Linked DNA regions of Ovis aries. The protein of the gene in region 2 interacts with the protein of the main gene of each other region in a pairwise test. Links are inferred from orthologs where the notes say so. Each region holds a gene or a part of one and is shown on either strand. Other genes may lie near its edges.

What was found. The genes of interacting proteins can lie anywhere in the genome.
Region 1: the proteins of CCDC57 (region 2) and TSGA10IP interact in binary tests that used the Homo sapiens proteins (3 or more experiments, as listed by UniProt). The two-hybrid records come from large-scale screens. The link is inferred for Ovis aries from reciprocal best matches to the Homo sapiens genes CCDC57 and TSGA10IP.

What each region holds. Positions count from the first base shown.
Region 1 is NC_056074.1:40,484,869-40,488,953, reverse strand, and holds the start of TSGA10IP (testis-specific protein 10-interacting protein), read right to left. Parts: upstream 2,813-4,085; 5' UTR 2,137-2,812; coding exon 1,990-2,136; intron 688-1,989; coding exon 554-687; intron 453-553; coding exon 1-452.
Region 2 is NC_056064.1:50,203,072-50,206,584, reverse strand, and holds part of CCDC57 (coiled-coil domain-containing protein 57), read right to left. Parts: coding exon 3,511-3,513; intron 3,108-3,510; coding exon 2,973-3,107; intron 1-2,972. UniProt on the Homo sapiens protein: Pleiotropic regulator of centriole duplication, mitosis, and ciliogenesis. Critical interface between centrosome and microtubule-mediated cellular processes. Centriole duplication protein required for recruitment of CEP63, CEP152, and PLK4 to the centrosome.

The sequences.
Region 1 (4,085 bases), on a different chromosome or scaffold from region 2:
TCAACCCCTTCCTGGGGAGCTGGGGCAGTTCTCCCGGAATCAGACCCCTCTCGGCCTCCTCGTCTCCCAGACCTTCCAACTCAGACTCCTCGGGCTCCGACCCAGACCCCAAGGACTTCCTGGGTGACTGCAGGCCTCCCTCCCCGGGTAGCTCCAGCTCCTGGCTCGTCCCCCTGCCCGGAGGGATGGCGGTGCAGCTGCAGGCCCTGAGCTGCTGTCTCCTCTCCAGGTTCGGCCCCTCTGCCTTCCAGCAGAAGCCGTGGGCCTCCAGGAGGGTGGGCGTGGACCTGCGCCGGGACCTGTGGTGATGGACCGCTGGGGGCAAAGGCAGGGCCTGGGGGCCAGGGGCCGAGATGGAGCTCGGCTGATGCAAGGCCCGGCCGTCTGCGGTGAAGCTCTCCCAGGCCCACTGGAAGGGGAAGGAGGGTTTCCGAGGAGGAGAGGGGACGAGACTGAGGAGGGAGAGGGCAGGGGGCAGGGGTCAGGGCCTGGACGCCGGCCCCCAGCGGGGCCTGGCCCCCTGCATCCCTCCCGTCCCTCCACAGCTACTTACTCCTCAGCTTCCGCAGAGCTTTGCCCTTTCTTGTTCCGGCCTCTGAGCCTCCGGTTCTTCTTTGGTGTCTGCCCCGCGCTCTGAGACCTCTGCTTCTGGGCATGGATAACACCATCACCACTTCCAAGACTCCTCTGGGCGAAGGTAGGAGAGGAGGCCTAGCTCTGAGCCACTCACCCAGCGGACAGTACTGTGCACCCCGCCTGGCCCTCTGGGCCCTTGTTACCCCTGGAACTGACAGATCACGACCTGAATTATTATTAAAATAGCAACAGTGGCAGTCTAGTGGTTAAGAACCCGCTTGCCAGTGCAGGGAACCCGGGTCTGATCCCTGATCTGGGAACATCCCACATGCTGCAGAGCCACTGTACCTGTGGACCACAACTAAGGAGCCTGCGCTCTAGAGCCGTGAACCACAACTACTGAACCTGCACGGCGCAACTACTGACGCTTGAACACCTGGAGCCTGTGCTGCGCAGCAAGAGAAGCCACTGCAATAAGAAGCCCGAGCGCCACAAGGAAGAGCAGCCCCCGCTCACTGTAACTAGAGAAAGTCCACCTGCAGCAACAAAGACCCAGAGCAGCCAAAAATAAGTAAATAAATCTTAAAAAGCAATGGTGCTATTCACCGAGCATCTGCTGCATGCCCACGACTTTCTTGCACTAACTCACTTAACCTTCCTTCCCAAGGACTCTATGGGGCTTCCCAGGGGGCTCTAGTCATCAAGAATCTACCTGCCAATGCAGGAAACGCAAAAGGTGTGAGTTCAATCCCTGGGTCGGGAGGATGCCCTGGAGAAGGAAATGGCAACCTGCTCCAGTATGATTGCCTGGAAAATTCCATGGACAGAGGAACCTGGCAGGCTATGCTCCATGGGGCCTCAGAGAGTCGGACTTGACTGAGCTATTGAACTCACACACTCACACACACACACACACACACACACACACACAAGGATCCTATGAGGTCCTTGCTTACTCTCACCCACATCATGCAGATGAGAACACTGAGGCTCAGCGAGGTGAAGTCCCTTGACTAAAGTCACACAGCCAGGAAGCAGAGCCAGGACCTAATGTGTGGACTGTCCTAGAGCCCAGATTTGCCCCCTTTGCCCTGGGCTGCCTCTGGGCCCTGGACAGGTCTTCTCAGTGCCCCACAGGGCCCTGGCCTTGCAAAGCCAAGGAGGGAAAAACTCATCATTTTTCCTGAAACCCAAATCCTCCCAATTTGCCAAAACTGCCCCATCAGAAGCCTGGGAGTCATAACTGGGCACCATCCTCCACTTCACCCCACGTCCCTGCCCGTCTCGGACCTCCCTGACTCTCTTCTGGGCCTCAGCTCCAATCTTGTGGCCTCCCTCAACCTTGACCTCCCACCCCAGAGAGCCAGCCTGCCTCTGGGCGGTTGGCGGTCCCCCCGCGGGGCCCCCTCTCACCTGCTCAGCATAGTGGGTGCTTGAGAGAAGCTTGAGCAGACCTGGGGTGGCCCCTGGAGCCTGCTGCCGTGTGTCTTGCCCAGGTCTCCCGGAAGAAGTCCTGACCAACTGTTGGTGGGCGTTTAGCATATTGGTGTCTTGCCCCATCCCCCACCCCCATCTGCCAACCTTGGAACTGCCCGGCCCACCATCTCTATGGCAACCAGTCCTCAGCCTGTCTCAAGGGCTCTGGCAAAAGCAGACCAGGAAGGCTCTATGTAAGGCCAGCTTCCTTCCAGAGGGGAGAGTTCGGCAGGACGCTGAGGAAGAGTCCAGGCCCAGGAGTCCAGAGATCCAGGCCAAGTCCGGACTTCCTATGGACTCGGTATAATCCTCCTACTCTTGCTCAGCCTGTGTTTCTCCATCTCTCAAAGGAATCTCTGGACCATCCATCCCAAAGGGTCTTCACACCCTGTGAAGACAGCAGATAATACCTGCCGCGTCCCTCTCCCTCTATCTGCCTCCTGGTTTAAAAAAAAAAAAAAGATATCTCATTATAATTAAAAATAAAAAAATCTTTTGGCCATGCCACATGTGGGATCATAATTCCTCCACCAAGAATTGACTTCCCTGGTGGCTCAGATGGTAAAGAATCCGCCTGCAATGCAGGAGACCTGGGTTCAATCCCTGAGTCGGAAAGATCTGGAGAAGGGAATGGCTACTCACTCCAGCATTCTTGCCTGGGAAATCCCATGGACAGAGGAGCCTGGAGGGCTACAGTCTATGGAGCCGCAAAGAGTCAGACACAACCGAGTGACTAACACGTTCACTTTCTTCAAGGATCGAATCTGTACCCCCCGCACTGGGAGGACGGAGCCCTAACCACTGGGCAGACAGGGACGTCCCCTCATTGTAAGTTTAACTGAGTTGTGCTGATTACCTCTTCAACCCGCTCTGCATTACTTTTTTGCCTCTGGGCCCTTCCTGTGAGCTGCTTGTTTCTGTTCACAGCTGCGTATTATGCTTCTTATTATTAACTTGTGCAGGAGTTCTGTATTCACTAGATTGCAACCACCTGTCTGTCAATATTATCTCTGAGGGCCTTTGTGGAGCAGAAATCCTTAATTTTTTTCATTTTTTTAAATTGAAGTATAGTTGAATTACAATGTGTTAATTACTGCTGTACAGCTAAGTGACTCAGTTATACATGTGTATCTCTATCATCTTTCGTATTCTTTTCCATTATGGTTTACCACAGGACACTGAATATAGTTCCCTGTGCTACATAGTAGGAGCTTGTTGCTTATCCATTCTATACATACCAGCTTGCATCTGCTAATCCTAAACTCCCAAATCCAACCCTCTCCCACCCTCCTCCCCCTTGGCAACCAGCAGTCTATTCTCTGCATCCCTGATTCGGAGAAATCCTGAATTTTGATGTAGTCAGATCCATAAAGGTTTTGCATGAGGGTCTGCCTTTTGAATGTCTTAAGTCCTTACCCTACTCCGAGGTGGGGCCTTCTTCTCCTACATTTTATTCTAGTAGATCATAATTTAGCTTCCAGGTTCAGATTGAAATGCTCTATACTTTTCCTTTTCTGATACTGTCCTTATCTGGTTTGGGAGTTGTGTGAGGAAGTGGGCAGCCTCTTCTCATTCTGTTTTCTGGAACAACTAGTATAAGATAAGGACCATCTGTTCCCCTTCCACTGGGACTCTTTTGCACTGGAGTCTTAGATTATAATTTTCTTTACTGGCTATTGATCTATTTTTTCTGAAAAGGCCTTTATGTTAAGTTTTTATTTTCACTGACATACAATCATTTGTAATATTCTTTGATATTTTGACATTTTAAACTTCAGTGGGGGCTCAGAGGTCGGATCATGTAGGGCCCAGTGGCTGTGGGAAGGTCTTGGGATTTGCCCTAAACATGATGGAGAGGGTGAAAGGATATTGTTATAGAAGAACCCATTTTACCAACACAAAACTCCCAGTCTGCTTCAAGATTATGAAGGGTTGGAAGGTGGATTCTAAAAAGGGAATTTTATAATGAGACTGGGGCTGGGGCTGGGGGCTGCTTTCAAATCCTAAATCTGGGGAATTTGAGACGGGCTCCC
Region 2 (3,513 bases):
GCATAAATATATGCCAGGATTTAAAGAAAAATATGAAAAAACAGAAATGGAAGATATCAAAAAGAACAAAATAGCATCTACAGAGATGAAAAATACATTGTCTGAAGGAAAAATTCACTGGATAGGATGGGATTAAGAGCAGATAAGATACTACAGGAGGAAAGGCTAAGTGAACATAAACACAGAGCAGTAGAAAGCCTTCAAGCTCAAGAACAGAGTGGAAGACAAAAGAACAAGTAACAGCAGAGCCTAACGACTGCAGAACAATGGGAAGCAGACATACACGAACCCAGATCAATGAGGGGGTGCAGAAGGATGCAGAACGCGTTGGCAAAAAAATTTCAAATTTGATGAAAACCTGAGTCCACAGATCCAAGAAGTTCAACAAACCCAAAGTAAGATAAACACAAAGAAAGTCACACCAAAGAGCACATCATGGTCAAACTGTTTAAAAACAGGGATGAAGGAAATCTCTTAAAAACCACCAGAGGAAAAAGGGCACATTACATTCCTGCGGAAGGACAAATAAAAGAAACTGCCAACTTCTCATAAGAACCAATGAAACCTAGAAGACTTCCCACTAAGATACCACGCCGAGAGGTCCGGCCATGGAGTTGAGCTGGGGTGAACATTGGGTCAGCTTTATTCCAGAGAGCACTAGGGTGAACTAATGTAAAATTTCTGCAGTGGTATATATTACTTTTGTTTCCAAAGTGAAGCTATTTCTTCTGTTACCGCTAGTCCCCAGCTTTTCAAGCCACCTCTGGCTCCGCTATGCACCTGCCTGCCTCCTTCCAGCCACTGCTCTGGCCCCACTGCTGCTAAGTAGCTTCAGTCGTGTCCGACTCTGTGTGACCCCATAGATGGCAGCCCACCAGGCTCCCCCGTCCCTGGGATTCTCCAGGCAAGAACACTGGAGTGGGTTGCCATTTCCTTCTCCAATGCATCAAACTGAAAAGTGAAAGTGAAGTCACTCAGTCGTGTCTGACTCCTAGCGACCCCAAGGACTGCAGCCTTCCAGGCTCTTCCGTCCATGGGATTTGCCAGGCAAGAGTACCGGAGTGGGTTGCTATTGCCTTACTACTCCTCCTGCAAACATCCAACCTCCCTCTTTGTGCCCACTGGGCTGTTCGCCACCTTCTCTGAGGCAAAGCCTTAGGCTGCACCTGCTCAGGCAGACAGTAGAGTGGTCAGGGCTGTGCCAACTGGCCAGCACTGCTCACATTCCCCCTCTGCCACCTGTGGGGAAGGGACTACCCCTCTTAGGGCCTCAGCTTCCTTGTCCTGAACAACAGGATCCACCTCAAAGTTGCAGTGCAGCCCATTCCCAAGGTGAATCTTCTGTCCCTGTGGCTGTGGCTGCATTTACCCTAGCAGCCTGCCTGGCGGTGGTGCCTTGGTCTCTGTGGGGTGATCACTCCGGCCCTGCCGATGCGCCATCATCGAAACTAGTGCCAAGCAAAGAGGAAGCTGTGGCCACAGCCAAGAGGCTGCCTGTCTGTGCAGTGCAATCAGTGGTGGGCTCAGCGCTTCCCAGGAAGCGCCATGTCTTCCTCCCTGAGCAGCCTCTGTCTCGGCTTCAGTGCACGACAGACGCCCCTGCTGCTCCTACTTAGTGTCTGCCAAGGGCCCACCTCTACAGAACTCAGCACCAACCGCCGCCTGCCAGCCGACATCCGCCGCCTTACCCGGCCACACCCTTAACCTGGTCACAGTATTAAGGCCCTGAAGGGGGGACGCAGGTGTTTTGCTATTATCTAGAGGATTCCAGACTTCACTCCTCTGGGTCAACAGAAACTTGCACAGCATCCTCCACCACCCCAGGTCCCTGCTTGGTAAGGAGGCCACATCTCTGTGTTAAGACCACCAGGCCAGCTCACCTTCACTGGTGCCCGAGGTGCTGCTCTGCCACGCCCCCTCATGTTGCCTCCAGGGCCCCCTGTACAGAACAGAGGTGCACATCCCCCCGACTCTGCATGCGGCACTTGTTTCTGACCCCTCAGCCATTTCTAAGGTTCCTGTTCACTTAACAAGGCAACTAGGTACTGACAGGCCTCCCTGACCAGCGGAGCTGGTGCTTGGAGACAAATGTCTTCTTTTAATTGTCAGCCTGGCGGTAAAATACAAAAAAGAAAAATTTGGGTAGGGAGGCTTATTAATAAAAACAACAAAAAAGAAGCATTTGTTTTCTACCTAGAGAAGGTACCCATGCAAAAACCACCAGCGATGAGTCCCCAGGACCATAGGTGACCCTGGAGACTAGGGTTGGCCCCCCCTTTCCTCCTGGGAACACCAGTGCTCCCAAGCCTGACCACTGGCTGAGTGTGAATCTTCCCAGAGGTTTGTTAACAGACACACCTTCGGGAGCTTGACCCCTAGGGCATCAAGCCTAGTATGCCTGCTGGGATGCTCTCATGTGATCTTAATTAATCATCCATCTTAACTAATCACATCCATAAAGACCCTATTTCCAAGGAAGGTTGCACCCTGAGGCACCAGGACTAGAATACGCCTTTCGGGGCCACCATTCACCTTGGGGTCGTCCCATAGCCAGTGTCAGGCTCTGGCTGGCACACAGCAGCACGGGAGTCTGTGCTTTTTGAGAGGAACGGCCATCGTTACATATCGAATGGTTCAGTCACCACATGTGTAGAAGCGTGTTTTGGGATAAAGCTCTGACCTTTTGGTTCTCTGTGTTACCGTCTGCCATGGTACAATATCTGAATTTGAGGTTTTTTGATATTTCAGATACTAAAGACACAAAGAAGATTGAGTGCAGATTCCCATTAGCTGGTTGAGCTTTGGTCTCACCTGGTGTGAACAGTCATCTTAAAAGAAACATGGCTGCAAAGATCTACCTCCAGTGCTGATTCTGGTTGGCGTGCTTCCCCTCTGGTGGGGGTAGCGGGTATCTCCAAGGAGCCTGGGAGGAAGAGCTGCAAGGGAGACTCAGGAGGAGGGCGGCCCCTCACCTGCGCCTCCTCCTCAGGGAGTAGCCCATGTGTCCGCAGAGCCTGCAGGGCCTGGTCTCTCTCTCGGGTCACGGCCTTCAGCACCACCTCTCGGTCACACAGCCGCCGCTCCGTCTCCTGGAGCTTGGCAACAACCTGGGGAAAATGCAGACTCAGTTCATCTTGGGAGGATCAGAAGGGAGCGGTGCCACTTTCAAGGTCCAGACCAGCTCCCTACCCTGCTGGGAAGCAGAGGGCAGACACGAGGGTGAGAAACCCTAGGAAATATGTGGCCGTCAGAGCCAGAGGAGCCCAGCAAATGCTGGGGCCACCTATGCATCCAGCTCCAGAGGCAGCTGCCTGGCCATTAGAGACAGGCTGTGGGCAGGGACTCATCATTGCAAGTCCTGCTGATATAAACCAAACTGCTCAGTGAGGCCAAGTGCCTTCAAGTGCAAAGGATAACTTGGTGAGGGCCCAAGCCAGCTCCATGCTGCAGTGGACATACCCGGCCCTTCCTTCTGCAGAAAGAAGTCAGACAGCCCAGGGGAGTGCAGACCTG